Linked DNA regions of Macaca fascicularis. The protein of the gene in region 1 interacts with the protein of each later gene in a biochemical or structural test. Links are inferred from orthologs where the notes say so. Each region holds a gene or a part of one and is shown in the gene's direction. Other genes may lie near its edges. The genes, in order: RNF20, UBE2B, WAC, H2BC21 and UBE2A.

What was found.
Region 2: the proteins of RNF20 (region 1) and UBE2B form a complex in vitro, tested with the Homo sapiens proteins (4 studies listed by BioGRID, with this or other methods). The link is inferred for Macaca fascicularis from reciprocal best matches to the Homo sapiens genes RNF20 and UBE2B.
Region 3: the proteins of RNF20 (region 1) and WAC form a complex in vitro, tested with the Homo sapiens proteins (2 studies listed by BioGRID). The link is inferred for Macaca fascicularis from reciprocal best matches to the Homo sapiens genes RNF20 and WAC.
Region 4: of the proteins of RNF20 (region 1) and H2BC21, one has a biochemical effect on the other in vitro, tested with the Homo sapiens proteins (3 studies listed by BioGRID). The link is inferred for Macaca fascicularis from reciprocal best matches to the Homo sapiens genes RNF20 and H2BC21.
Region 5: the proteins of RNF20 (region 1) and UBE2A form a complex in vitro, tested with the Homo sapiens proteins (4 studies listed by BioGRID, with this or other methods). The link is inferred for Macaca fascicularis from reciprocal best matches to the Homo sapiens genes RNF20 and UBE2A.

The regions. Positions count from the first base shown.
Region 1 is NC_088389.1:56,634,415-56,640,592, reverse strand, and holds the start of RNF20 (E3 ubiquitin-protein ligase BRE1A), read left to right. Parts: upstream 1-2,161; 5' UTR 2,162-2,454; intron 2,455-6,009; exon of another isoform or gene 6,010-6,178. UniProt on the Homo sapiens protein: Component of the RNF20/40 E3 ubiquitin-protein ligase complex that mediates monoubiquitination of 'Lys-120' of histone H2B (H2BK120ub1).
Region 2 is NC_088380.1:140,909,096-140,915,471, forward strand, and holds the start of UBE2B (ubiquitin-conjugating enzyme E2 B), read left to right. Parts: upstream 1-2,901; 5' UTR 2,902-3,030; coding exon 3,031-3,074; intron 3,075-5,203; coding exon 5,204-5,284; intron 5,285-6,376. UniProt on the Homo sapiens protein: E2 ubiquitin-conjugating enzyme that accepts ubiquitin from the ubiquitin-activating enzyme E1 and transfers it to a E3 ubiquitin-protein ligase. In vitro catalyzes 'Lys-11'-, as well as 'Lys-48'- and 'Lys-63'-linked polyubiquitination.
Region 3 is NC_088383.1:29,309,035-29,314,670, forward strand, and holds part of WAC (WW domain-containing adapter protein with coiled-coil), read left to right. Parts: intron 1-258; coding exon 259-381; intron 382-804; exon of another isoform or gene 805-1,165; intron 1,166-1,322; coding exon 1,323-1,471; intron 1,472-3,874; coding exon 3,875-3,993; intron 3,994-4,632; coding exon of another isoform or gene 4,633-4,756; exon of another isoform or gene 4,757-4,873; intron 4,874-5,489; coding exon 5,490-5,636.
Region 4 is NC_088375.1:111,387,510-111,393,344, forward strand, and holds H2BC21 (histone H2B type 2-E), read left to right. Parts: upstream 1-2,939; 5' UTR 2,940-2,981; coding exon 2,982-3,362; 3' UTR 3,363-4,642; downstream 4,643-5,835. Other genes in the region: H2AC21 (histone H2A type 2-B), read left to right, coding at 1,705-2,097; H2AC20 (histone H2A type 2-C), read right to left, coding at 2,258-2,647. UniProt on the Homo sapiens protein: Core component of nucleosome. Nucleosomes wrap and compact DNA into chromatin, limiting DNA accessibility to the cellular machineries which require DNA as a template.
Region 5 is NC_088395.1:125,911,999-125,918,285, forward strand, and holds the start of UBE2A (ubiquitin-conjugating enzyme E2 A), read left to right. Parts: upstream 1-2,220; 5' UTR 2,221-2,369; coding exon 2,370-2,413; intron 2,414-2,558; coding exon 2,559-2,639; intron 2,640-3,032; coding exon 3,033-3,058; intron 3,059-6,287. UniProt on the Homo sapiens protein: E2 ubiquitin-conjugating enzyme that accepts ubiquitin from the ubiquitin-activating enzyme E1 and transfers it to a E3 ubiquitin-protein ligase. In vitro catalyzes 'Lys-11', as well as 'Lys-48'-linked polyubiquitination.

The DNA.
Region 1 (6,178 bases):
GGACTTTTGGGGCTTGAGAAAGAGCGTTATCAACAAAGGAAATTGCATTATTTAATCTTAACATGACTGCTTACATCCAAAGACTGGTGACACATGATGTCTTTAGGTGCTAACTGAGCTGTGGGATCTGTTAGGGAGAGGTCACAATTCTGTTTCTGGTTGGTAGGAATGACTTTAGTTCCTATCTTCATCCTTACTCCTTTCTTGAAGAGTAAAGTGTCATACATTGCTCAAATCTCTAGGAATTTCAGGATCTCCTGGGATTCATGTCAGACTCCTCTATATCTTTTCTGGGATACTGTGTTTTTTTGGAGAACATAATTTAATTTCATTATCGTAGTTTTTTTTTCTTGAAACTGAATACAGACAGGAAAATACTTTCTGACACAGATGTATTAATATTTGCATGACAAAAAGAGCTTCAGAAATTTACAGCATGATTTATACTACACCTCAAAATCCATATGACTACTTTCTGAAATTGTGAATTTATTTTCAAAAAAATAAAAGGCTCTTCATGGGCCCCAAATCAACAATTCAAAACAATTCCACAATAGTTGAAAATAAGCACAAGCTTACATTGCCATCTGGTCAATCCCATGTCCAATTTGAATTTGATTATCTGTACTTCCTTGAAAGTAGCAACAATGATCTTATTGTTTCCATGATGTTTCATGTTCAATTGTTCAGATGTCCTATCATATGAGAAAGAAAATGCAATCTTATGGGCCACCAGGAATCTAAGAAGCTATGCCTCTCAAAGTGCTTTGATATCTTCAATTAATCTTGTAGCAGCTAGAATATGTTTTCAATGATGTGCCTAACTTAACCGTATGACCATATTAAAATAAATTTCCATGTTACTTCAATTTCTAAATAAAATGGCATGAGCAGAAAGGATATTAAAAGTCTTGATCACTTCCCCCAGCAACAGGGCAGTTACCGTTCACATTTTACCAAAGAGCTATCCATGTGCCTCTTCTTCCTGGCCAGAAAAAAGTCCCATCTTGTTTAGGTGGTGGGTAGGGAGCCACTGAGATCATAGAAGATGGGCCCCTATCCAAACCCCAAGGGAATGAATTGCAACTGGGCTTGTCCTGTTTTCCTTTGCCTGTGATTGGTCTAGGAGTGGGCATGTGGCCTATTTCTGGCCCTATGAAGCAAAAGGAGAGGTCTGCTGGGAGACTTCTTGAAATTGCTCTTCCTGGAAGGAGGAAAATAAACAAAACAACCACCAAAGGACTTTACAAGAGGAAGCTTTTTATCGCAGCCCCTTCCTACTCTCATTGAATGCAGCTCTGTGAGGACATGATATTTGAAGCTGCAGAAGCTGATGTGGCAAAAGATGGCAGAACAGAAAAGTAGCCAGAATCTGAGTCCTAGATGACATCACTGCACTGCTGCAACTGCCTTCTCCAGACCTCTTGCCAGGTGAGAAAATTAAATGTCATTATTGCTTAAGCCCCTGGGAGACTAGATTCTGTTACTTGCCAGTGAACGCATCCTAATGCTGCGACCATCTCTTGCACTGAAGTCAACTTGCAAAATTTACAGCACAAACTCTGCCCATGTATGAAGAGAATGTAAAAAAGCATTCCAAACATCTCTTTTGGGAAAATAAATGGATAACACCATTTTTTCTTTTCATTTGAGTTGTCCTGTCTTTGGCAAGTGAAAGCTGAAAAGCAGAATTTTCACATATAAATCAAATTTCTCCATCTCCCTCCTGGCAAGGGATAAGAAACTCTTAGCTCATACATGCTTTCTAATTAGTTAAGAATTGGATTTCAAGCCCTACTTTTACTGTTCGGTTTATTCTGCTTAGTTCATTCAGATGAGCGAATCCTTGAAGGTAAGGTTTAGGGTGTTTAGGGTAGTCAAATGGTTATGAACAATGGTTGTGAATGATGACATATTCCAGCATTTTGGAGCAGCAGCTTAGTCAGCTATCCTCAGAGCCAGTCTGAGGACTCTGGCCAATACAAGTGTGGGTTGTCTAAACCAATTAATTTTTAAAAGTAAGAATGTGTCTTTTCAGGTCTCTGGGTCCCTATGGAAACACTGACAAGAACAGGTGGAAGAAATATGTGGTCATTGGTTAAAAACTCTGCAGGGTTCAAAGAAGGGCACTCTTACATCATGTGATGGGTGAGCTGTAGTCATTCTGTGAGGGGAACTCCAGGAGACCGGATCCAACTCACAACCAGCTACAGTGAAGTTATGATATGAGAAGCACTGACTTGGCACAAGACTTGGGAAAGGCAATGAGGCAGCAGGCAAGCTTTACGGGATGACACTTACCTTGAGGGAGCAAGGACAAGTTGTGACCTTCCCAGTTCTCTCTCCATTTGCAGATCAGCAAGCTTCTGTCAGAAAGGAGGGGTGGACAATGAAACTCTTTGGGTTCAGCTTGATTGTTTTTTGAGACAGGTGTGGCAAGGGACTGCCAACAAGGTAAGTCATCTTTGGACAAGCCAAGTGCTTTGGGAGACAACCGTTTCTGAAAATAAGTGTTTGTGTCAAACATTCTCTTTGTCGGTAGGAGACTTTTTTGTTGGATCATGTCATCCTCAGAAAAGAGGTTGCAGAGAAGTTAAGGGAGATGGGATGACTTAGAGTCTCAGTGCTTTGGGGCAATTTATAGACAGCACCGTGTGATCCTGCCATCTCAGGACTTACCCCACGTTGCTAACTCCCTCACTGGGGCCAAGGTTCTGAAAGGAAGAAGGCATGTCTTATTCACTCACCTTTGAGTCTCCAGCACTGATCACAGCACCTGTCACTCAGTAGGCACTCAATAACTGTAAATTGATATGAAACATGACACGAGGTGCCTTTCACAGAACAAAAATTAATTTGTCCTAAAGGCCTCCTGGGATGCAATTTTGAATTTTAGTATGTGTCTACGTTGGGGTTAAGGTTAACGTTTAAGTGTGACAAGAAGGGGTTAGTTTGGCTGAAATAGTTCTTCCTGTGGTGTTAACTGGTAAAATGAAATATAATGTTATTCTAATCTCTTCCAAGCCTTTCCTGATTCAAACACGGAAATGTGTTTCTGCAGATTGCGGCATTTCAGCTAAAAGTTCAACGAGATTAAAAAGGAGAAAGCTTGAGTCATTTGAGTGAATATCGCAAACAGGATTTAGGTATTCATTAAGATAAGGATAAACTGCTAAATTTAGGTTTACTCATGATTAATTTGTTTGATGTATTTCCTTGCAGAATAGTACATGAACTAGATTTTGAATGTGATACAGACACACACCATTTTTTACATACATAGCTTTTAAAATTTAGATGTATTCTATGTGTACAATCCAGAAAGGAGATGAAAGCCTGCCTCCTCTTTTATAAACTTATTTGGAGGGGGAGCTACATGGAAGCCAAACTTTTGCTGAACTCCAGTTGGAAATGGATTCTGGATACACTAGGGCTGGAGAAGGTTAGGGTTGAGAAGGACTAGAGGCATTGCACAAACACATTCCTGGAAATAAATCTACACAGACTGGTTGACTTGAAAACTGGTTAACCAGAAATTTTGCCCTGTTTGGGGTAAAGCTAGAAACATTGAATCCCAAAATCTGTGAATAACATGCCTAATAGGAAAACTGAAAATTCTGTGTATTTCTTTTCCAAAATTAAATGGCAGCCAATGTTTGCAGGTAAAAAACCAAAACAAACAAACAAAAAACCACAACGGGGAATTAGATTACAGCTGTTTGCTTAAAAATTGTTAACTGATTTTGTTGTTTGTTTAATGGAAACATTTGCATTGTGCATTCCTGTTATTTGAAGAAAAATGGTGAGAATATCACAGTGCAAATGAAGAATACAAGTTTGATAGAACTAATCTAATCTACCTTAGATACACTCCTCATTTGGGAGAACTTATTTAACTGGTAATTTAATTTAGGTGGAGAGGCACTTTAATTGGAGTTGATTACTGTGGGATTTTTATATACTGTACGATGCACTGTTGAGTTACAGCACCACATGACGTAAAGTTGGGTAATTTTAAGTCACTGGATATTTTTATCCCAACTATAATAGAATTTGCTGAAAAATGCTTATTAACTGAAACTGTTTTCTAGGTTGGATACTATTTGGAAAATCTTTGGGACTATGTCAAAGATGATTGGAAATTTAATAGAGCTAGCAGACCAAAAAACAAAACAAAACAAAACAAAAAGACTTAATTTATTAGGACTGCAGTGGTGATGTGCTGTCACTTCAGGACACCCCATTGCCTGAATCGCAGCAGTGTTGCGAATCATCACTCTGCAGTGAATGGGAATTTTTGGTTTAGAATTTAACAGATTTTCCTGGTCTTTCTCCTAGCGACCGACACAGAAATATGAAAGAATATAATGATTTCAAAAAAAGCACTTACGTTAACCATTTGGGGGTGAAAATGATGAAAATGTAAAGGCAAATGATGAATTTATCAGAGAATGAAGGAACAGATAGCATATGTATGTAGGAACACAGTAGCTTTAAAATATCAGAAAGATGAGGAAAAGGACAGAGATGCCAAGTGAAGCAGAGGGTTTCTACATTTGTCATCGGCTCTTGCATGTCCCACGTTCCCTTATGTAATAGATCTTTAATGGATGCCCTACTGTCACAGAACCTTTGTAAGACCAGCCTATGCAGAATGCAAAGGAACTAAATAATGGACAGTTAATGTTCTGGCAAAGCAATTTATTATCTTGCTAGGAGCTGGTTTCTCATTGCATTTAGAATAAACTTTAAACAGCTATATCACCTTCCAGGCCTGATATGATCTGGCCCCTGCAAACTTACCTTCATGTCTTCCCACTCCCATCCTCCTTCTTCAAGCTCTAGCTACACTGGCTTTCTTTCATCCTTGGACTTTTAACACTGGTTCTTTCTGCAAGGCCTTTGCACTGCCGTGCTCTCTCTCTCTGGAATGCTTTTCCTTTGGCTGAATTTTTCCATGTAATTCAGGTCTTAGTTCAATTTTAATATCCCCCAACAGATTTCCCATGCTATCTAAAGCAGTCCATGCCCTTCCCTATCCCTAGGTCCTGCTATCACATTACCTAGTTAGATTTCCTTGAAACCTCTTGAAATTCCCTTATTTATTCTTTTGAGTTTTTTTCCCCTTCACCTTCCCCATAGAACATGAGCTCCTCAGTGTCACGGATCTTCTGTTTCGTTCATTGCTATATCCCCAACACCTAGAATAGAACATGACACATAGTGAGCAATGAATGAATGAGAAAGAGTATAAGACTCACAGTGGAACTGCCTATGAACAAAAGGAACACTGGACACAAAGAAATGGTCTAGGGAAGAAAATCAGGAAGAAGAGGAACAAAGAATGGGGTCTAGGGACTGAGAATTGGTTATAGTGCACAATTTTAGCCCCTATACAATGTTTTTTACATGCATTCCAAGCAGAGGGAATGGCACGTGCTAAGAGGAGGTCTTTCCATCATCACACACAGCTGTTTTTTACTTTGTTGTTGCTAGTGGTTTTGTTTTCAGTGTGTGTTGGGAGTTGGGGGAGGACGGGTGTGAGGGATCCCTGTGTGTTTCTCTCAGGGGAAGGCTGGGTTTTTTCTTTCAGGCTATAGGTGTTGCTGCATGTTCTTGGGTTTGTCAATGGAGCACAGACAGGAATACCACACATGGCAGCTCTGCAACTTATTCTAAGACTTTTAGACCAAGAGGCAGGAAAGAGTGAAGGAATGATCACCACATTGTACCAGGGGTATACTGGTGAGGGGTAAGATGATTTGGGTGGCAGGGGTGACCACCAATTTTTTTAACCCAGAAAAAGATGGATAAATGCTCTGACATTGCTGTGATCCAGGGATCTGTGGCCACGGTTGCTTGTGCAGGCAGCAGCCAATACTTCTGAATGGCCCTCTTGGGACTACAAAATTGTGTGGTGGGGCAGGGAGCCCATACTATTTGCTACATCAGAAAAATCCATTCATGAAAAAGAAAGACAGAGAAGAATAAAAGTCTTCTCAGAAAGCCTTAGTAAAATGGGTGCTTTTATTTTCACAGACATGTCTATGCAAATACACTCAGTCACAAGAGAGAGCTTCTTAAGCCTGATCATAATTTAAACTCTGAAAGGTGAGTGAGCCTGTTAAGAGACCTCCACCCTTCTAGTAACCTATGCCCCTTGATATGGGAGGGATAT
Region 2 (6,376 bases), on another chromosome or scaffold:
TAGTCCCAGCTACTCAGGAGGCTGAGGCAGGAGAATGGTGTGAATCCGGGAGGCGGAGCTTGCAGTGAGCCGAGATCGCCCCACTGCACTCCAGCCGGGTGACAGTGAGACTCCGTCTCAAAAAAAAAAAAAAAAGAATGTTATTCAACCACAATATAAAACACCTTCTATAAATAAGAATGTCATAGTAAATCTTATAGTGGGTTCAAACTTCGTGTAAGCATATTATTTGCTGTGGGCAAAATATTTGCAAGGAGGCTGCGCACAGTGGCTCACACCTGTAATCCGAGGGAAGCCAAGGTGGGCAAATCACTTGAGCCCAGGAGTTCCAGACCAGCCTGAGCAACAGGGCAAAACCCCGTCTCTACAAAAAATTAGCCGGGTGTGGTGGTGCACACCTGTGGTCCCAGATACTTGGGCAACTGAAGGAGAATTGCTTGAGCCTGGAAGGTCAAGGCTGCAGTGAGCCCTCTTCACACCACTGCACTCCAGCCTGGGTGACAGAGCAAGACTCTGTCTCAAAAAATAAAAAAACATTGCCCAGGACAAAGATGAACCAAACTCAGTCCCTGCCCTCAATGAACTCATAATCCAGAGCTACAGAATTGATAACAGCATACAATTAATAGCTTTAAAATTATTCCTTCTACAAGTAGGTTATGGCAGGCCTGGTTAACCAGAACAGCCAGTGATTCTTGCTAATACACAGCTGTAAGACTTTATGATGCACATGCACTGAATTAGTTAAAAGTGTTAATTCATTTTGGAAAATTTAAACTGTTTCCGAAACAATTATAAATCCCTGTAGTCACGGAATTCCTAAACTCCATTGCCTCCAGTTCCCATCTTTAGGACTTTGTTGGTGCGTCAGGAGGACTCAGCACTTTTGTATCCATTCTTCAGCTCAACAAGGAAAGGGAGGTAGGAGAAGGACCTCAGCATTGCCCTAATCTTGCCCATAGTTCCATGGAACCAGAAAGGGTTAACTTTTCCCACTTTCCTTGTACCTCCCTTTTTTCAAACCCTGAATTCTGTCTCTGCTTTCAGTGACTGCCTAGACTGATAAATTATAAGGGTTTTTTGGTTGTTGCAGGGTTTGAGACAGGGTCTCAGTGGCATGATGATGGCTTACTGCAGCTCAAACGATTCTTCTGCCTCAGCCTCCTGAGTTGCTGGGGCTACTCGTGTGCACAGAGACAGGATCTCCTATGTTGCCCAGGCTGGTCTTCAACTCCTGGCCTCCCAAAGTGTTAGGATTACAGGCATGAGCTAATGCCCCAGCTCATGAGGGATATTTTTAAGATATAGTTTCTATTTACCATTTTTCTCCATGTAACCCTGCCTGTGTGTCTTCCTCCTTTGCTATTGGAAGGGTTAGGACTGCAATGGCAGAAAAGCAAAAACATTAAGAATATTCAGCTTTTAACTTAGAAAACACATTGTGAATGTCTAACAGGACCTATCAAGAGTTAGGCCTGGCTAACTTGATCACTAAGGCAGTCACTGGAAGCTGAGAGAATTCAGGGTTTGAAGAAAGAGGTACAAGGAAAGTCGGAAAAGTTAACTCTGCTTCCATAGAACTAGGGGCAAGGTTGAGGCAATGCTAAGGTCCTCATTCCACCCTCCCTTTACCTGTTGAACCGAACAATTCCCCAAATGGATACAAAAGTACTCAGAGTCCTTAGTATAACAAAGTCCTGAAAGTAGGAATTAGCAGCAATACAGGGAAAGACAGTAACTACAAAAAATATTCAAGGTCTGTGGGAGGTCAACACCTCTGAACCCCCTGGTGGTGGGGGGGCACTTCTCGCCCATTTGCACCTTTCTTGCTAGTGTAAAAAACCTGAAGTTGTCTCAGGCTGGATAGATAACCCTCACTCAGGTCTGCTGGAGCTCTCCCCCACATATGAATCATATTTGTAGGTTTCTTTGACAACCAACCACTCATTGATATGCTTGGAAGACTGCACCCCCACATTCTTAAAAATACAATGGTACTCCCCCCCATAGGCAAGTCCCCGGACTCTGACACATATCTTCAATTGAAAGCAGACCCAGAAAGGAAAAACTGCATAATACACCATCCTTTAATGTTTGCCCAGAATTTCCAATACTAGAAACCCCACTGCAAAGCAGAAAGACTATTTGGTAGCTTCAAGGAACCATTTCAGGAGATTGTTGTGTGGCCCTCAGTATTCAATGCTGCCTTAGAAGATCTTGCGATCCTCTCTCTTCTTGCCCCAAGTACCAGAGTTCATAAGCCACTGAACCAACCAGAGGGGAGTTATTTTTGGTCCCGGTTTAAAGAAAACAAAACAAGCTGTTGATCCTCCCACGACCTCTTGGGTAATGTCTCTATACCTGTGATAAACCGAAAACAACTAATAAAGGTGTATCCAGCCCTCACCCTCTTAGACCCGCTTCACAGACCTGGCCGAAACTCACATCCAGGCGAGGCTCTCACGTGACCCGTTCTAAACGCGTCACAGGGACACGTGGTTCTAGATACTTCTCCCCCTCCCCCTCAGGGGTGGATTGTTGACAAGGCCGCGGGCAGTCACGTGATCTTACATCATCCCACCTCCTTTCCCTGAAATCCCTGGCCCGGATACGTCCTTCTTTCTCCACCCCGCCGAGCCTAAACTAGAGACGGGGAGGCAGACAGGATAGTGTGTCGGTTTCGTGGTCTCTGAATCCACAACCTCTAGTCTGAACACAGAGAACACAAATTTGTCGATCACTTCAGGAAGCCCAGGAAGAACCACGCCCCGCTGAAGGGCTCAGGGAACGCGCGCTCCCCCGTCCCGCCCCCTCCTCCCCCAGCACTCACTCTGTGGTAGCGGCGGAGGGCGGAGGGATCCGGAGGCGGCGGAGGGAGACGTCATTGCAGGGTTGTTTGTCAGTCTTGGCGGCGGCGGCGGCGGCGGCGGCGGCAGCGGCGATCCACAGTGATTCGGCCGCCGCGCCGGGGGGTGGGGGGGCTGCGCGGGACTCTTTTCTTTCAGACTGACCGCGGGGCAGCTGCGGAGCATGTCGACCCCGGCCCGAAGGAGGCTTATGCGGGATTTCAAGCGGTAAGGGCCTTCAGCTTCGCATAGATGACGGCCTCTCAAAGCTGCGGGGCTGCAGGGCGTGGATCCCGGACACCTTCCCCTTGTGACCCTCAGAGGGCCGGCTGTGGGCCCAGGGGGACTGGCGGAAGCCGGGTCCTACCTCGGCCCCTACTCTCCTTATCCTTGCCGCTCGCTCTGGCGCCCGAAGAAATTTCGATACTGCTTCCCCTCCCCCCAAAAAGTAAAACGATGTCGATCGACTGGTCTAGGGTTCCCCGCTGCCCATTTCGGCCAGCTGCCCGGGGTCTCGTCCAGGGGATCAGACGGGGATCAGACATCATCCTCCCGCCCCTGCACCCTGCGGAGACCCTTTCTTGTCCCCTCAAAGTGAGCTCCCGCGGGAGCTTGTTCTTCTCCGGCAGCACCAGTCAGCTTTGTTTCACGGCCCCTCAGTCTTCTCCGAGGAGCCGGGTTGGGGTGAACCTCCCCAGCCCCCCACCCTCGCCAGTCCTTTCCATTTCTGCCGTGAGGGTGGGGTCCAGTGCGTGAGGCTCGGAGGTTAACCCATCCCCCGAAACCCGACTCTGTCCCCGCCCGCCTGAAAAGACCTTGGGAACTGACTTAGAGATCTGGGACCTTAGAGCTGGCCACCCCGGCTGCCAGTGCCTTCTGGAACTCAGATCTGGCTGGTGAAGAAAGCCCTATCTATAGCCTCCCGAGTCTGGAAAAATGCCTTCCCTTAGACTGGCGCTAATTTGATACTCCCTGGGCCTTCTTTGGTAAATAAAATAGGGTTTTGTTAGGAGGTATTGGGGTTGTGAGGAAGAAAATGATTATTCCGTTAGTTTACCTTTTATTGGATACTTAGAGACGTAGAAAAAACAAAATAACGTAGAAAAAACAAAATAAGTGAGAAAACATTTTGATATTCTGCACATTTTTCTTAAAATTTTTTCTGGGGACACCTACCCTAATTGAACAAAATAGCATAAAAACATAGATTTGTCGCTCAGGAAGTCACCTCTCAGCTATTATAAAGCCTATGTGAGGCATTTGGATTTGGCCAACTTATTTAATTCATTCGTAGCTTCTCTTAGCCATTTAAAGGTAGGCGTCAAGCAGTGCAGTTCCTCTAAGGCTTCTGTTTGTGGTGGCCTAATTTGCTTGAGATTGACTAAAAACCTTTTTTTTTATGTGGACTAGTTGCAAATTATGATGCCCCATGAAAACAACTCCATATGTATTTGTGAGTGTGTATAATGTAGCATTTTTAATTGAGGTTACAGTCTCTGAAAGGAGATGCCCTTTTTGGTGCAAAAGTCATTTTTCTAAAGCTTGAAATCAGTGTATCTGATTAGCACTCATGACTAAAATTCAGATAGTAAACTAGTTCATGTCATTGTCGCCCTGGCTCCTTACTGTAATGCTCTGCTTAATTCTGAGTTGAATACATGGCACCTTTTGTAGTTTTCCAGAGATCTATAGGTTACAAGAATTTGACTATGACGAATGTGGGAAAGCCTTGTATTGAGTCTCCTGATTTGAGAGGTAGATTTGATGTTAGTGCAGAGCCTTTAAAATAGGGACTGGCGGAAAACCTACTGATTACTTTTTAAAGCCATTGCTGTTTGAAGCAAAAGGGATAGAGTAAATCTGCTGCCTAATACTAGTTTCCTAGTTAAATTTAATGTGTTTTCAGTCATTTCGTGTTTACACTGAGGTTTGCTTTTTTTTTTTTTCTTGTAGCCATTTTGCAGAAGTAGCCGTGGTTAGGATACACAGTCTTTGCATGTTTAGAGCAGCAAAATCAATGGTTCTGTAAAAATATTACTTGCTTTTGAGGTTTTAAACTTTTTTTGGTATAAGAGGACAGTCTATATACATCAATTCTTGAAGAGATACTCTTGATAATATTGAAAGAGGGATGATTCTCAAGCCCTTCGGATTTTTAGGTAATTTGGAGAGGTATTTAATAAGTATATATACCTGGTTAATATATCTAAGTCATATGGTTCATTTTAGTTCACAATAACAAGGAAATGGAGTTAGTCTGTGTCTCAAAATAGATGGTGTAGTGTCTGTAGGTGTTTATGTGGCCTCCTTAGTGGCCTTAATGTTCAACTTTTTAAATTACAACGCTGGATTTCTAGGTTACAAGAGGACCCACCTGTGGGTGTCAGTGGTGCACCATCTGAAAACAACATCATGCAGTGGAATGCAGTTATATTTGGGTGAGTTGAAAGGTTTAACAAATAATAGGTGTGTGCTGAATCTTTAAGAAAAGTGAACATATAACAACTGTCTAGGAAAAGAAACTGAGGTAGAATGAGAGATCTTAAGGACTAAAACTGCAAGATAAATTAGAAAAAAATTTTTTTCAATTAGAGTTTTGGCCCAGCACAGTAGCTCAACGCCTGGGAGGATCGCTGGAGCCCAGGAGTTCATCACCAGCCTGGGCGATATAGTGAGACAGTGAGACTCTGTCCCCTCTCCACCAAAAAAAGAGTTTTGGCCCAGTCTGGGCAACATAGTGAGAGACCTTGTCTCTACAAAAAGTATAAAACTAACTGGGCATGGTGGTGCCCAGCTACTTGGAAGGCCGAGGCAGGAGGATCACTTGAGCCCAGAAGTTTGAGGCTGCAGCCAGCTATCCAAAAAAAAAAAAAAAAAGGGAAAAAGTTTCAGCAGTTATACAAAGTTTATTTGCTCTTTGATGTTATTACATATGGTTTTATAATCACTTGGGGTTTTACTTTTAAGATACTACTCAAAACTAAATGGAATGGAATAATAAAGGAGAAACAATAAATTACTTTGTATAAAACATATCATGCAAATGCTCTCATTCTGTTGGAGCTGTTAAAAGGTTTGGAACCAAAAATATTAAGAACTTCCACTGCTGCAAGAATTTAAGTGAAAATGATTCACAGCCCAGTGTAAAATAACAGAATGCAGCCATTTGAGAAGCAGCTGTAAATTTTACCTACTATATATATTGCATATATGCTTTTTAATTTAAAATTTCCTTATGCTTTTTTTTGTTTTTTCTAGACTTGATCTATTTTTTTCTTTCATTCCTTTGATACTAGAGTTTTGCATTAAAAAGTAAAAGGAATATGTTGATAAACAGAATTCTGACACTACAGAATCAGCTACAAGAGTCTACATTTAAAGACTAGTGGAAAATGAGTGAAGTTCATCCTCATAAAGTACTTCTGAATCTGAGTTGAATACATGGCACCTTCAGGATATTATCCTGCTGCTTTGAGATCCTGAATATGCCTTGCAAGTAATAATTAAGCTTTATGCTGCTGCTTAGGAAA
Region 3 (5,636 bases), on another chromosome or scaffold:
AGGTGATCATCTTAATTTATTAGTGTAAAAGAAATTCTGTTGGTTTACCTTTATTGTAAACCCATTAAGTTTCTTTGTCTGTGCCTCAGATTGTTTCAAATCTTGGGACCCATTGTATTACTCCTAGTAGGCTTTTATTTTGAGAGTTCTAGATTGAAATATTCCAGTTTCTTGTGGGTTCTCTTCCTTGTCAAGTTGTTACTAATGCCACATAAGCCTCTTGTTTTTATACGAATGTATGAAATAATGTGTTTTTAGTTCTTACAGCAGCTGTGACACAAGCCTCTCTGCAGTCTATAATTCATAAGTTTCTTACTGCTGGACCATCTGCTTTCAACATAACGTCTCTGATTTCTCAAGCTGCTCAGCTCTCTACACAAGGTATTCTTACTCATCTTAGATATCTCTACAGTGGTATCTTGATTTTGTTTTGGAATTAATAGCCCTTTTTGTATGTAGTTTTTTTCTTCTGTTTTTTTTTGTTTGTTTTTTAAGAGATTAGCTACAATTTTTTTTGGTAACACTGGCATATACAGTAGTATTTTTATTTCCTTTCTTTTTAGATGAAGCAAGTTTTGACATTTGTCTTAAGGTATTGCCATCAAATCTGTAATTATTTAATACAGCATTTAATTCAGACTTTGTTAATGAGTTTTTTTATGCCAAAGCTGAAAGTAAACTATGATATGCCATATATCTTTGTGAACATTGCATGTATTTGAAGAGTTGAAGTTTGGTTCAGATTGACGTTAGATGTTTTTTGACTGGATAATATGGAAATGCTCATTTTCTGCCTTGAATTAGATATCCCTCTTCATGAAGGTATCCAAATGGAGAGAGATACACGTAGGAGCAAATGGGAAGTGAAAGGGTCACTTTGTCAGAAAGCTGATAAACAGCAGGAATGCCTTGTCTGGAATGGAAGTATAATGGTGCAAAGACTCTTGCAACCCTCTGGCTAGCCTCATGAGCAGGAGACTGCGTGGGATACCTGGGCCTAAATGTAGAATAAGAAAGAAGAAATAAGGATGGTGAGGAGGCCTTCCATGTGAGAATAGGTTCAGGCCTAGCTTCCTGTTCCAGCCACATAAAGGAGAGTGGGCCACACTGGGTGTGCTTACCTCTGAACACACAGCTCACTTAGTCAGTGTGGCCCAGTGAGAAGGTCAGATTCTGATTTATTCCGATAAGTGTTCTCTGGGTAATATGGGGGTGGGGGGTTTAGAGTGATACAAAGATTGTTACCACATATATTACAAAGGACTTAGTTTTTTTGTTTTGTTTTGTTTTTCTTTAAAATTAATTGCTTCCCTCTTTTACAGCCCAGCCATCTAATCAGTCTCCAATGTCTTTAACGTCTGATGCGTCATCCCCAAGATCATATGTTTCTCCAAGAATAAGCACACCTCAAACTAACACAGTCCCTATCAAACCCTTGATCAGTACTCCTCCTGTTTCATCACAGCCAAAGGTATGTCACCTTTGAGGGATATTTGGGAAAGAAACTACTTTTGGAAAATCAATAACATTTTAGAATCTGTTACAGAAAAAGCTCTATGAGAATGAGGTGTAGTGGTGGAATGGATGACAGGTATGATAGTAGATGCAGCCTAGAATTTCTCAGTTCACTGAGGGATAGAGGGGGGCTTTGAATCTGTGCTGCTTTAATACACCTTCTGAGTCTGTTCCCTAATGGTTTTGGGATTTGTCACATGGAGAGTGAGATAAAGAGGGTATACTGTGAGTCTTAATATTTGTAGAATTTTCAGACTCCAAAAGACATGAGTGAACATGTTTTCCAGCAACTTTGCCATATTTGTATTTCAAAAATGAGGCAGTTTTTGTGCTAAGAACTTAATGTATGTTCAACTTTCACATCATGAGCATCACTTGCTTCATTTAATAGATAAGAAAATCAGACTCTCAGTTAAGTCTAGTTTTTGTGGTAGAGTCAGAATTTGAAACCTAGGTGTTTGTGAATACAGGGACCCATTTTACTAAGCTTATATTGCCTGTATTTGTCCCAGCAGAATCTCACATGGTTGGCTCCATAGGTGCAGTTAGAAAATTTCTGGGCTAAATGGTAAATATAGGGGGAATTTCTTTTGAGTAGTTTTGAAACAGTGGGCTGTTTCAAACTTTTTAATGCCAAACAATTATTTGTAAGATCTTAAGCAGCAGCCCAAAAATAAAAATGCATTGAAATACAACTTGAAAGAGGTGGTTGGTCAGCTTTTAAGTCTTCCCGTTTGTTCATCCCTTCCCTACCTTGGCCATTGATCAATGCATGTTTTAGGGCCAATTTAGATTGATTTTTAAAATTCCAAGTTACAGTTGTTAGTTTGTCATGCAGTTCCTTATCATTCACCAGTATTTTAAGGAGGAAAGAATTAAAATGTGAGTTTCAGCAAAAGATAGGTTATTTTTGGAGCTTAGAACTTTTCTTCAGGGTGATATTTTAAGAGTATAGTAAATAGTGGTTAAAAGTGAAATAAGTGGCAGTATTGGTTTTATAGTCACTTGTAAACTGAGCATTTCAACTCCTTTAAGCAGGCTGGGCGCAGTGGCGCACACCCATAATTACAGCACTTAGGAGGCCAGGGCAGGAGGATTCAGTTAGGCCCTGGGCAATACAGCAAGACCCCATCTCTACAAAAATAATTTGAAAATTTACTGGGGGAGGCCGAGGCAGGCAGATCACTTGAGGCCAGGAGTTTGAAAAAAGCCTGGCCAACAGGCAAAACCCAGTCTCTACTAAAATTACCAAAATTAGTGGCACAGACCTATAATCCCAGCTACTCAGGAGGCTGAGGCATGAGAATCACTTGACCTGGAAAGTGGAGGTGCAGTTGAGCCAAGATCACGCCACTGCACTCCAGCCTGGGCGAGAGAGCAAAACTCTGTCTTTAAAAAACAACAACAAAAAAAACTTATTTGGGCATGGCAATTTGTACTACTCAGGAGGCTGGGGTGGGGGAATCACCTGAGCCTGGGAATTCAAGGTTGGAGTGAGCCAAGATCACGTCACTCTGCACTCCAGACTAGGCAACCAGACTAAGACCCTGTCTCGAAGAAAAAAAAAAAAAGTCCTTTAAACAGATAGCTATCAGTTTTTTGTGTTCCGAAAACTTCTTCAAGTTGTTTTTAAAATAATTGAACATTTGAGCTTTTAGTGCTTACTAAAATGTTCTTTATAAGACTTGACTAGAATTGATAGGTAATATTCAGAAGTTAAGCAGGACGTTCCAGATTTGTTAGGGAGAATTATTAATCATATCCCCTCACCCCACCAAAAGAAAAACAGCAGTGAGGTGTGGCTTATCACAAAGGACTCCATCTGCCTTTGTGCCTCAATTTAGAGCTTATATTTTAAACTGCTTATTTTCTCTCTGTGGCTTCTGAATATAATATGTATCCTGATTGGCAATCATGGACTTCAGTCTACCTCTGTAGAGTAACATCTCTTTGAAAAACACTCATGATGAACTTTATATGGGCCATAACTCATTTTCTGATAGCCGAATCACATTGTTTCTCCATGTCATTAAAATCTAAGCATCCATATGTGTATGATGTGGTAGCATACATATTTACTTTTATTGATATAAAAGTAACAAATCAGAAGAGATAATAATGTATTGGAAAGAAAACTGAGTTGTAAAGGAGGAGAGCTAGTTTCTTACACTGGTTTGATAGGGAAGTAATTTTATGACCTTGGGCCATTTTTACAAAGAAATGAGATACCGAAGTTTTAGAACTTGACAGTCTTCTTTAAAACACCATATTTTACATGTTCTAAGACGATTACCTAGATTTTGGGGGGAGAGATGTGGATTAGATTTGGAGACCATCTCACCAGATTTTGACATTTCAGGTTAGTACTCCAGTAGTTAAGCAAGGACCAGTGTCACAGTCAGCCACACAGCAGCCTGTAACTGCTGACAAGCAGCAAGGTCATGAACCTGTCTCTCCTCGAAGTCTTCAGCGCTCAAGGTACGTCGATATTGTATATTGAGACCACATTGTTTTGTTTAATGATAGTATACTGGTATATTGCATTGTTTGAAGATGTATCTGTAAAATATAACAACTTTAAACTCCATGAATACTCTAAAGTAGGCTTATATGTTGTAAAATTTACAAAGACAAACCTGTATACAAGAGGTAGGTTATTGTCTCTAGTAGTAAAGCCCGGGTTATTTTGAAGAAAGTGGCTCTTTAAAATTTTACACAGTGGAATATGATGGGGTAAAGATTTGTGATACTTGTACCAGAAAGGCACATGATTTTACAATATTTGTTGGAATTACATTGCTTTGTAACCTCCTCATAGCAGTTTTGGTTTGAGTATATTGATGAAAGCCAAAGTCTCCTATCTAAAACTTGGGCCGATGTTTCCCGTGTATGTCAGGCTTTCCCAGTAGCTTAACTGTGACCCTATACAGATGACTTTTAGATAGTTCTATACTGCTGTATTGTGTTAGCACTTTTCTGTGTTCATTAACAACACAACTTTAAATGACATTTGTTGAATGAATGGTTTTCATTTGATTGATTTTCCTATTTTTTATTTCATGCTATGAGGTAGCAAAATAATTGAACTGTTGTTTTTATTGTTGTTTTCTAAACAAGCATTTCAGAACTTATACCTCCAAATGAGAGTTGTTCCCTTCAAACTAATCACCTTGGGAAGCTGTCTACTTACTCCAGCAATGTTGCCATTGCTCAGAACATTTTTGGGAAATTCTTCTTTTAAATTGTTTTTAGAGGCTGCAGTATTATTTTAAATATCCTCAGTGATGAAAACTCTTCATCCTTTGGGAGATTTAGTTTTTGGAAATAACTGAAATTCATTCAGAGCCAAGTCTGGTGAAGCAGGTAGGAGATCAACTTGGGTGATTAAATTTTTTGGTTCTCGCCACCATATCCCCAACCCTGGCCCAAACCATTCAGTTTTAAAAGAAGATAAACAATCTCAGAGTGTTATTTTTTTGGTTTTGTTTTGCCACTATGCTTGCTCAGTGCTATCCAACAAAATGTTTGTATTTTGCTTCACATTATTTCACCCTCTGATTCAGCAGTTCTGACGTTGAACAAAGGCAATATATATTTTCCCCTTACCTAGATGTATATGAGACAGTCTTCACATGTGCATTATATCTATAGCTGTTAAAATGTGACCATTTTTTAGTTATATTCTTATTAGTGTTTGTGGTACACAAAGTTAACAGGTTCTGCTCTCAGATTTGGAGAGTACAGTTTACATTAGACTCTGACAGTCGTGTTAAAAAGGCTTTTTCCCCCTAAAGTGTTTTGAGGAATAATATACTTTGGATTGTTAATTCTCTTTATTTGATGTTAAAATAACAAATTTTTCTTAGGAATTTGGGTATCTTTAAGTTAATAAAAGGTACTAACATGCAGTTTATAGGATAAGGATACCCAGAAACTACTTTTAAACATATTACACATTCAATTCTGTTTTCTAGTAGCCAGAGAAGTCCTTCACCTGGTCCCAATCATACTTCTAATAGTAGTAATGCATCAAATGCAACAGTCGTACCACAGAATTCTTCTGCCCGATCCACGTGTTCATTAACGCCTGCACTAGCAGCACACTTCAGTGAAAATCTCAT
Region 4 (5,835 bases), on another chromosome or scaffold:
CAGATCATAAGGTCGGAGTTTGAGACCAGCCTGGCCAACATTCGAGATTTGAGATCAGGAGTTCGAGATTAGCCTGGTCAACATTAGTAGAGATGAAACCCCATCTCTACTAAAAATACAAAAATTAGCCGGGCATGGTGGTGGGCGTCTGTCATCCCAGCTACTTGGGAGGCTGAGGTGGGAGGATCGCTTGAACCCGGGTGGGTGGGGGCGGGGTAGAGGAGGTGGTGGTGGAGGTGGCAGTGAGCTGAGAAGTGCTCCAGCCTGGGCGACAGAGCGAAACTCCGCCTCAAAAAACCAAAAAAACCACAAGTCTATTTTTTCTCTCTATTATTCTACCTGACCTTAAGGGATACTAAGGAAAGGGTGAGAATGGTGTAGGAGATGTAGAACTCCCAGAGATGGGACGTTGAGGAGGAAGAAACACAAGAGCTTTCAGATTCATCTGTTATATGGGATAAAAGAAAAAAAGAAGAGCTTTCAGGAAAGATTTCTAAGGCCGCTGGAGTCACACCAGCAATTAATGCCTGACAGCAAAGTTACCCTTTCCCGGCTGTTGCTGAAATCTAAGGGATGATGATGAGGTGGACAAGGGAGCGTGGAGAAAAAGATTGAAGGGATATTAAGGAAGCAACTGACTGGACATGCTGAGACGAAGGGAAGAGTAGAGTAGATTTCGGCTTAGTTATCTGTAAGTATGCTGGCGCATTTCAGGAAGAGGGCAAAGAGGGGAGGTTGTTTGCAGGAGTTCGCGTTCGAATAGGCTGAGGTTGAGTTTGAGTTTGAGGTGCTCGTTGGGACAAGTAGTAGATTGAAGTATTCAGTAAGCAGTTAGGCACAAGGGTCTGAGCTTCTGAAACAAATTTGGATGTTAGTTGAAAGCATATAAATGGGTAAGACTCTTCGGGATAAGTGAAGAATTGGAGATAGAGAAGCAGAATCCAGCTGGACTCGCAGATTTAGAGATGGCATGGGGAAGCAGGATAAGAAAAGTCGGCGAGCTAAGAAGAAAAACGCAGGGCGACATTTTGAAAGCCAAGGGAGTAAGCTTCAAGGCCGCCTCCTGGAGGTCAAGAAGATGACAGATCTAGCCTTGGTCAAACTGAATTCCAAGGAGTGCAGGCGGGTGGGGGTGGGGCGGAGTCGCTGCGGGCGACTTAAGTTGAGGGGCGAGAAAGGAGGCAGCCTTAGTAGTACTTGTATTTTTAAAGGGAATTTGGCTGTGACGAGACAGAAAGGGCGGAACTTAGTAGTTTAGAGCTCAAGGGGATAATTGGCTTCAGAATCCCCTACTCTTGCGTGAGAGTAACTCTCAGTCTACGGATGTCTTCTGCAGTTTCTTAGGGTCCATGTTGGGATTTACCGGCTGTAAACTAAACAAAGCAAAGCAAAACCCCATAGTACAAGACATTTTGTTTGAAAGCCTACTTTCTTTAAAGATCCTGCCATGCAAATAAGGGGCTTTAATGTGGCTCTCAGCGATTGGTAGATACTTACGAAATCCGTCATTTCCTTTCAGGGCAGGATGCAAACCAAGAGGCGGCTTTCTGTTTTTCTATTGGCTGTTGGATACGGCTCCGCTTTTAGCCAATCAAACGACTTCCCTTCACCCCTCCCGGTAGCTCTTATAAATTACATCAAATTGGTTATTCTTTCCACATTCTTCTCCTTGTAAAAGAAGCTGTAACTGCAATTTTAGCCGTAATGTCAGGACGCGGAAAGCAGGGAGGCAAGGCCCGCGCTAAGGCCAAGTCGCGCTCGTCCCGCGCTGGCCTCCAGTTCCCGGTGGGGCGAGTGCACCGCTTGCTGCGCAAGGGCAACTACGCGGAACGGGTGGGGGCAGGCGCCCCGGTGTACCTGGCGGCGGTCCTCGAGTACCTGACCGCGGAAATTCTGGAGCTAGCAGGCAACGCGGCTCGGGACAACAAGAAGACGCGCATCATCCCTCGCCATCTGCAACTAGCCGTGAGGAATGACGAAGAGCTCAACAAGTTACTCGGGGGTGTCACCATTGCCCAGGGCGGCGTCTTACCCAATATCCAGGCTGTCCTGTTGCCCAAGAAAACGGAGAGTCACAAGCCTGGCAAGAACAAGTAATTAAGAGGCTTGACACCATACTCATTCACCCCAAAGGCTCTTTTAAGAGCCACCAAAGTGTCAAATGAAGGGCTGATCACGAAATAGCGCATTAGCTCTTTTTTTGAAAACTTGGGTGGCTCTAAAAAGAGCCTTTGGTCTTTGGTTTGTTTGTCTGCATTTATTTGCTTTTGGCTTTGTGGCTTTCAGTTTTCTTTGGTAACAGAACGGCCTGGATGTTAGGCAAAACGCCGCCCTGGGCGATGGTGACTTTGCCCAGCAGCTTGTTCAGTTCCTCGTCGTTGCGGATGGCCAGCTGGAGGTGACGAGGGATGATGCGCGTCTTCTTGTTGTCCCGAGCCGCGTTGCCCGCCAGCTCCAGGATCTCGGCGGTCAGGTACTCGAGGACCGCCGCCATGTAGACTGGCGCGCCAGCCCCCACCCGCTCCGCGTAGTTGCCTTTGCGCAGCAAGCGGTGCACTCGCCCTACCGGGAACTGGAGGCCAGCGCGGGACGAGCGCGACTTGGCCTTGGCGCGAGCCTTGCCTCCTTGTTTGCCACGACCAGACATGACTGAAACCAAGGTTAAACACAGACAATGCTCAGAACCTCGCTACAAAATAAGCTTGAAAGAGAACCAAGAGGAAAGCCTTTATAAGCTTTCCTAGGGGTGGGGTCTAGAACGAGTTTTTCATTGGTCCTAATATGGCTTCAGAACCGGCCAATCAAGTCAAGAGTCGGTGTTGTTGCGTACGCATTGCTGAAAACGCAAGGTCCGCACACGGACCAATGGAAATGAATGACTTTCGGAGCCCTAATTTGCATAAGGTGGTTATAAAAGAATCAGGCCCGCCCATTCTCTTACTTCTTTTCTTGGCTAAGCCGCGTTTGTACTGTGTCTTACCATGCCTGAACCGGCAAAATCCGCTCCGGCTCCTAAAAAGGGCTCCAAGAAAGCCGTCACCAAAGCCCAGAAGAAAGACGGCAAGAAGCGCAAGCGCAGCCGCAAGGAGAGCTACTCCATCTACGTGTACAAGGTGCTGAAGCAGGTCCACCCCGACACCGGCATCTCGTCCAAGGCCATGGGCATCATGAACTCCTTCGTCAACGACATTTTCGAGCGCATCGCGGGAGAGGCGTCCCGCCTGGCGCACTACAACAAGCGCTCCACCATCACGTCCCGCGAGATCCAGACGGCCGTGCGCCTGCTGCTGCCCGGCGAGCTGGCCAAGCACGCCGTGTCCGAGGGCACCAAGGCAGTCACCAAGTACACCAGCTCCAAGTGAGTCCCTGCCGGGACCTGGCGCTCGCTCGCTCGAGTCGCCGGCTGCTTGACTCCAAAGGCTCTTTTCAGAGCCACCCACCTAATCACTAGAAAAGAGCTTGTTCACTTACTCCCTTAGTTTCTTCTCATAAAGTAATTTTAGCGTAAAGGTCATGGGAAATGCCACACGTAGGTTTTTAACCATTTGGAACTTGAGGTCCCCGGTGCATGATTGGATTTGCTTTTGAATCTAGAGCGTGTCTTCACTCATTGTGCTGCTTAGCATTCCCAGGAGTCGGTTCTCAATTAGGATGTTGGGAATCCGCCTCTTTACCCGCCCCCACTCCCGCCCCACACTGGCGCCCTGGTGGCTTCTTGGGTCTGTTTCATTCTAAAACGAAGTGGCTGAGTTCGGCTGTTATTTAAGAGAACTCCAGGGCACGATTCAGCCCAGGTTCCGCAAACACTGCGTGACAGCTGTGTATGACTGACGCTTGGCAGCACCTTTTGTGTCCGGTCACCAGTTCTGCTGTGCGATGGGGTCTCCTGTGGATACCAGCCGTTCTGTGTATTTTGGACGAAGCCCGCGCAGCCGGGTCCCAGCCTTTTCCTGATTGGGCGACATGAATATTCAAAATTCTGCGCCTCTTTCTAATTTGTAGATTTCAGTTTCCGTCGTTCACTTTGAGACTTTGAAATTCCTATTTCTCGTTTTGTTGATAATTTTTGCATTTAATGGTCTCTGCTTTAAAGGGTAAGGCTGCGGCCCCAGGTCACTGCGAGGCACTTACCGTGTAGATACGGGCTCAAAAGTCACCTGTCAGAGATCTACGTCATCCACTAAGGAATTCGCGCCGCTCATACTTGCCTGTCTCATTTTATCTTCCTTCTAGCAGCTGTCTGAAATTGGTTCGTCTGTTTTCTTGTTTATGGTATTCTCAAGCCCTTGACCGGCTGGTGTGGTTTTCCCGTGCATCTTCAGCCTGGCACATTATGGACACTTACCTAAATACTACGTATTGATGTAATATTGTTGGGTTAGTTTTTCCATCCCATCGTTTTCTTAATCGCTTTCGTGGATGGATGATGGGTGCTGTTCATTTCCGTTAGATGTATGTGAAGGCACGGTGAAAATGGAAATGTTTTTGGAGCTACTTCCTCAAATGTGTCCTTAGTCACCTCAGTGCAACAGCTGGGAGGGGGCCGTGTTAAGATTTTTTTTGCATCAAAGAGGAGGTGGCAATGGTAGATCCACCCTTACGCTTCCCAGTTTAGCATAACCTCTTTTGGATTTTCATCAAATTCAGCGTATTGGTCACTGGAAAGAGCCTTTTCCTTCTTTTCTTACTCTCCCCTCTTGGTGTTCCCCTCTTAAAGGAGAGGAGCTTTTAATTGACAGTCATCACCTCATTTTTTTTTTTTTTTTTTTTTTTTTTTTTTTTTTTTTTTTTTTTTGAGACGGAGTCTCACGCTGTTGCCCAGGCTGGAGTGCAGTGGCGCGATCTCGGCTCACTGCAAGCTCCGCCTCCCGGGTTCCCGCCATTCTCCTGCCTCAGCCTCCTGAGTAGCTGGGACTACAGGCGCCCGCCACCGCGCCCGGCTAATTTTTTGTATTTTTAGTAGAGACGGGGTTTTTTTTCACTGTGGTCTCGATCTCCTGACCTTGTGATCCGCCCGCCTCGGCCTCCCAAAGTGCTGGGATTACAGGCTTGAGCCACCGCGCCCGGCCATCATCACCTCATTTGCTTTCCAGGAGGCCATGCAAGATAGGCAGGACTACAGGGTTAATCTCCTTTTTACAAATGAGGCCAAGGGAAGCCTCATTGGTTCACAGTCATGCAGCTCATACTGTCCACCCTTGTATTCTCAGATGCAGGACAATTGCATTTTAGTTTTATTTTGTGGAGGTACAGAATATTTACTCTTTCTGTCCAACCCTTGATTCTGCCGAGGAAGACACTGATGGTTTGATGAGTGATTCAACTCTGTTTTTGGCTAAGGGTTTTGGAGTTGATAGCAGGGGTCTGATGAATCCAAATGAGCTCTAGACATTATCACAGACTGAATAAATCTTTTTTTTTTTTTTTTTTTTTTTTTTTTGAGACGGAGTCTCACGCTGTTGCCCAGGCTGGAGTGCAGTGGCGCGATCTCGGCTCACTGCAAGCTCCGCCTCCTGGGTTCACGCCATTCTCCTGCCTCAGCCTCCTGAGTAGCTGGGACTACAGGCGCCCGCCACCGCGCCCGGCTAATTTTTTGTATTTTTAGTAGAGACGGGGTTTTTTTTCACTGTGGTCTCGATCTCCTGACCTTGTGATCCGCCCGCCTCGGCCTCCCAAAGTGCTGGGATTACAGGCTTGAGCCACCGCGCCCGGCCAGACTGAATAAATCTTAACTGTCTCCTACATGTGTGTTTTCAAATGTGTGTAGATGCTATTGTTATTAATAAAGTTACCAATTAAAGGCTTTGCTGGATTCTTTTATCTACAGTATATATT
Region 5 (6,287 bases), on another chromosome or scaffold:
CTGTTGCTGTTATAGGCAGACTTCTAAGATGCTGCCCTCCCCTAAGATTCTTGGTCCTTGGTATATACGCACACTTTCTCCCAGTTATTAAATGAAATAGTAATCTAGGTTCTGCAGTGGCAAAATTTAGCAGATGCAATAAAGGTCCCAAATTAGATGTTTTTAAGATAGGGAGATCATCCACAGGATGGGTATGACATAATCTGGTAAGCCTTTAAAGTAGACTGTGCTCTTCCTGAAAACAAGATTCAAAGAGTGAGAGGGATGTGGTAGGAGAGAAATTCTCTGTTGATGACTTTGAAGATGGAGTAAGCCACGTGGCAAGGAATGCAGGTGGCCTCTAGGAGCTGAGAGTAGTTCCCAGGTGGCAGCTGGTAAGGAAATAGGGACCAAAGTCCTACAACTGCAATGAACCGGGCTTGGCCAGCAACTTATAATTTGTTAAGCAGTGATGAAAACGAATATGCTTGCTTTTGTAGATCTTGCTTTTGTTGATTTCATATGTGTGTATGTGTGTGTTAGTAGACTGCAAGTTCCTAGATGAGAGGAAAAAAAGTTTTTTAAAAAATTTTTGTACCCCCTTCCTACTACAGCCATAATGTGATGCTATTAGGGAGACTTGCCTTAACTGATATATTGGAGTTAATGGGAGATAGAAATCCTTGACCATGAAAGTACCTGTTATTAAACAGCAGCTAGAATTACTACCATTGTCAAGTGCCTCCTGCTTCTCATGTTAGAAACAAATTCCTGCACATCTGATATCTTCTGGACATCTTCACGGGGATGTCTCACCAGTCCCATGAACTCAGTAAGTCCCACCCAAAATTTCCTCTCCCAAACTTGTCCCTCTCTCTCTATTCTGTAATTCTGTTAATGGCACCTTCAAATCCCCAGTTATCTTGGGGCTTAGAGTTTCAGCCTCTGTTGACTCCTTCCTCTCTCTTGCCTCCATATTCAACCTGTTGCCAAGTCCTCCCCATTCATTCATATCCTACTTGCCTTTACTGTCACTGCCTGGTTCAGTATCTCACACCTAGATACTGCAAGAGTCTCCTGCCTGCTCTCTTGAGACCAATCTCTGATAAGCACAGCTCTAATGATGTCACTTCCCTGCTTAATGGACTTCCAAGGAATCCATTAGCTTGGCATTCAAAACTCTTGATGACTTAACCCAAACCTACCTTTCTCCTATTTTCAATAATTTTTAAATGTGTATTATGCCTATCTTCTAAGTTATTTTGGGTTGACCTTTAAAAATTATCCTTTAAAACTGTTACTGCTTTTGCAGGTCCACGGACTGTGACTCTTCCCGCAACCTGCAGCTTTTCCACGTTCCTTTTACTTCAGACCCACTGTCCTTGCAACTCCCTGCAGTCGGATAGTCTCATACTGTGGACTCTTCTGAACATATAATAGCCGCTCGGCTTGTTGAACTACCAAGGGAAAATGTGGTTCCAGAGCCAAATTGTGAGTGCCCAAAGCAAAACAAAACAAAACAAAACCCTACTCTGCCTGCCTTAAGCTCCCATTCCCTCCCACAGGACATACAACACCATTTCATTCTGCCCAGGGGTGATCATTGGCCTAAACGTTGAGCGCCCAATCCTGCATTCAATCCCACAGCCCCGCCCCGCCCGCCGGTCATAGTCAAGGCCAATTTATTCTTTTGATTTTTCGTGATTTTAACCAATCACTCTGCTCCGCACCCCTCCGACCCCAATCTCCGGTGTCCGCAGGGATTGGGCACCCTAGAGTTGCCGCTTTTTGAGAACCGGTTTTACCTCCGCCCACTCCTTCGTCCTCTAGTTTGGGACTTCCAAACTTCTCCCCCCTCCTCCCCGGGCATAGTGCGCGCTCTCATGAATGATCTGGTCACAAAACAAAAAAGAAGAGAAAAAGAAAAAAAGGAAGAAAAAAAGAGAAAAAGAAAAAAAGCCGAAAACTTCCCAGGGTTTGCCTTAGAATTAGCAGGTGGGGATGGACCCCGTTCCACCACGAGGTCCTCCAGCGCCCCGGGCTCCAGCGTACCCCACGCCTCTGAGCTCGCGGCCCCGCCCCCGGCCTCCTGCGGGGCTTTAATGACATAAGCAACTTTCCTCGCGCACCCCCCGCCCCGTCTTGGTACGGCCTGTCCGGCGCTCGACGTTCCACCCCCCTCTCTCTGCTCTCAGGTTGGTTCAGCCCCCGTCTACACTGGGGTGGTGCTTAGCCGGCGCCAGACCGACCCTCGACTTCGGAGAGGCAGCGCGGTGCCTCTGGGTGCTTCCGCCTCCCCTTCTCCGGCTTCTCCAGCGTCCTCGGCCTCGTCGCCCGCCGCGGGAACCCGAGACCCCAGTGTATGCCCCACCCCTGACCCCGCTCGCGACATGTCCACTCCGGCTCGGCGGCGCCTCATGCGGGACTTCAAGAGGTAAACCGAGGGGACGGCCGAGGCCGGGGGTTGCGAGCCGGGGCACAGGGCGGGTCCCGAGGCGCGCCGGGCGGGGAGGGCTGGGGAGCGGCCGGGAGCGGGCGCCAGTGCCGGCCTAGGGGGACCCCTGTCTGTCTTCCCGAAGGTTGCAGGAGGATCCTCCAGCCGGAGTCAGCGGGGCTCCGTCCGAGAACAACATAATGGTGTGGAACGCGGTCATTTTCGGGTGAGTCTGCGTTCGTGGCGGTGGCGAGAGAACCGGGTACGCGAGCCCTCTCGGTCTGCGCTCCAAGGCGGGCCCCCCGTGGAGGCCGAGGGGGTAGGGGAAAATGTTTGGGTCTGGCTGGGCCTAGGCGCCTCCCCGGAGCCTGTGCCTCGATTAGCTCAGTTCCCGCTGCCAGGGGGAACCGCTTGGGGTTCTAGGGGGGCGGGGCGGGGAGTGGTGGCGGTTAGGCGCGGCGGCCTGCCCTGTGTCTCTGAGCCCGGGACATCTATTTGTAGTGGCTTTCGACTCCGGCAGCGGTGCGGGAGGTGGCAGAGCTCGGGATAGCCATCTCAGATGAAGCAGGGAGAAGGGGGCCCCTTAAGTGGGAACTGACCATTTTTCTCTGTGTTGCAGGCCTGAAGGGACCCCGTTTGAGGATGGTAAGAGAGAGTTTCTTTACCCACTTTTCAGGAGCCTGATCATCTGGGGAATGGGTTCCCACTCATCCTGGAAGTGTCTCCTGCTTAGGAACCTGGCTGTGCCTAGTCTCTGTCTGCTAAAGGCTTGAGTGGAATGCAGTGTGTAGCTGGTCGTTCTGGATATTGTATGCTTGACTAGAACTGCACCTTTCTTCTTGTTTTCTTAAAAAAAAATCTGGGGAAGGCAGTCACTTTTTAAAAGGAGCAATCATAGCACTGATATTAAGGATTTTTGAGGCTTGGGCTGTGATTCTGCTAAATTCAGCCCTCCATCACTGAATTAGTATAAACCCAACCAGTTGCTGATAGTCAGCAGAAACACCAGAGACCATCTGGTTCAGAATTCTACCCCAAGGGCAGGAATTGTGGTCAGCAGGTGCTTGGTAGATGTGTGTTGGATGTTGAGTGGATGCAAGCGTCCCTTCCATTCAACTGTCTGGTTTCTACAATCTGACATTGAATGCCTGTCAGCCTCACTTCTCTAAGATGGTCTTAAATGCCTCATTTGAGTACAGTATTGTTTCTTATTTTTAAGTGAATTTACAGTGTGTGCTTTCATCAAGACGTTATGATCAGTAATTTCAAAGCAGCTTCACAATTGAAGTTAGCCTCACTGTACCCTTTTGATCAGTGTCCCGCCTACTTGAAAGTACTACATGTACCAGTAGGTACATAATTTTTAAGTGATTTAGGTTTAACTTTTAAAAACACATGTGTAAATTGCTTTTTTAAAACTTTATGATTTTAGATAATTATAGATTCATATGCAGTTGCAAGAAATTAAGAGAGACACCCTTTATACCCTTAACCCAGTCCTCTCCCCAAACCCTCCCGTTTGGTAACATCTTGAATGACTAGACCCTATCACAACCAGAAAAATGACATTGATAGTTCTGCACTCAGTTGTGTGTGTGGTGTGTGTGTGTTGTTGTTTTTTGAAAGTTTAATACATTTAAAGGATGATTAAAGTATTTGAACTTATGAAATTCTTTAATATTTGAGGTTTTTAAAAAAAGGAAAAGGATGTTTCTGTTATTTTTTTTCCTCAATGATTTATCTTCATTCGGTCACATAGCATTTATACACACACACACACTTCAGTTTGAAGGTGGGAACAAAAACATTTCTGCAAACTACTTAATACATACTTATGTTGCTGAGCCGGATTGCTTTTTGATGCTACCAGTCCGCAAAATGTTGTGAGGTAAGTCAATATCAACTAAGTCTATAATTCATCTCAAGTAGTTAGATTTCTCCAGGAAACTGTGGACAGTCACCTGAATATTTTTAGCTTCCTCTCTACCTTTACCCCCTGGGTAAATATCATTGTTCTTCAGGGCTGCAATGAAAAGAAATGACAGCAGGAGACAGTGATTGTAAGGGCATACTACTTTGGTGCAGTTAATCATTTGAGCTGATTTGTAGCAAGAAACTATAGCTAGACTTAAATTTTCCTCTACCAGATTGGCACTAGTTATTTATTTATTTATTTATTTATTTATTTATTTTTGAGACGGAGTCGTGCCCTGTCACCCAGGCTGGAGTGCGATGGCGCGATCTCAGCTCACTGCAACCTCCACCTCCTGGGTTCAAGTGATTCTCCTGCCTCAGCCTCCTGAGTAGCTGGGATTACAGGTGCACGACACCACGCCCGGCTAATTTTTTGTATCTTTAGTAGAGATGGGGTTTCACCATGTTGGCCAGGCTGGTCTCAAACTCCTGACCTTAGGATCCACCCGCCTTGGCCTCCCAAAGTGCTGGGACTACAGGCTTGAGCCACCGTACTCAGCCAGCACTAGTTCTTTATACCTGAGATTTAAATGTACAGATTAACTGTGTATTTGCTTTAGCTCTAGTAGGCTTTGTTTTCATTGGCTTCTTTTTTCCTCGTTTTACTCTGTTTTATGCTGGGCACAGCTTTATTAATAGTACATCGCTTTGCTGGGGATTGGCTACCTAAATATTTCAAGGGTGCTTCTCTTAAGTGGTATGAATTGAAAAGGTACTTATGGAGTCCATTATCTACCAGGACTGTCACCTTTGACATTACTGGTACTATTTTTGATGATGTGTATCTCCATCCTAGCATTACTGAAAGGAATTACTCAGGCTGATTTGTTCTGTTGAACAGTCTGCTACCCATGGATGCTTCCTCAGGTATCTGGAACACTGTGGTTTTGAGATGGAGTTTTGCTCTTGTCACCCAGGCTGGAGTGCAATGGCATGAGCTCAGCTCACTGCAACCTCTGCCTTCCAGGTTCAAGCAATTCTCCTGCCTCAGCCTCCCGAGTAGCTGGGATTACAGGCACCCGCCACCACGCCCAGCTAATTTTTGTATTTTTAGTAGAGGGAGGTTTCACTATGTTGACCAGGCTGGTCTCGAACTCCTGACCTGAGGTGATCCGCCCACCTTGGCCTCGCAAAGTGCTAGGATTACGAGCATGAGCTGCTGTGCCCGGCCTTAACCATTTTTTGAATGCCCTTTATTTACAGTTGGGGACTTTACAGTTAGAGAAAAGACTGATTAGGGATAAGTGGCATAGTTGATTTTGCTGTTTCCAATGTATTATGTTAATTAAGAACCCCAAAACTACTTTTGCTTCTTCGTTGTAAACTGTTCGTTATGGAAGTTTCTGGAACAGTCAGATCCTAGTTAGAGTGATGAAATCTTAAGAAAAGCAACACTTAAGGGTATTTTGGTTTAACTTCACACAATAAGAGGAATATATTCTTAAGAGCTTACACTACCAAAACACTGGGGAGAAATGCTTCCTCATCAGAATATCTTGGTATACATGCTAAATACAAAGGTTATGGAATATAGTCTTCATCACATAATCTAAAAATTGTTAATAGACATGGTAAGGTACTGGTATTTGCTTTTCATAATAGATGTGTTCTTTAGAATTGGGGTATACATCTTTTTTATTTTTTTTAATTTTTGGAAATATTTCTGAGTCATAAAATCGTTTTCAAAATGAATCTCTAAAGTCCACTAAGAGTATTTTAAAGATAAATAAATCCTATGATGAAGAGTTTTGGATATTACTTGAAAAACGGAGTTTCAGTCATCAAAAATAATTTTGAAGTTACATGTATTTTGCTTTCTTCTCAGGAGTCACAAACTGGTGGCCAAATAGCAGAAAACACCTGCGGGTGTGTTTTCTTTGGCCAACACAGTATTTTCCAA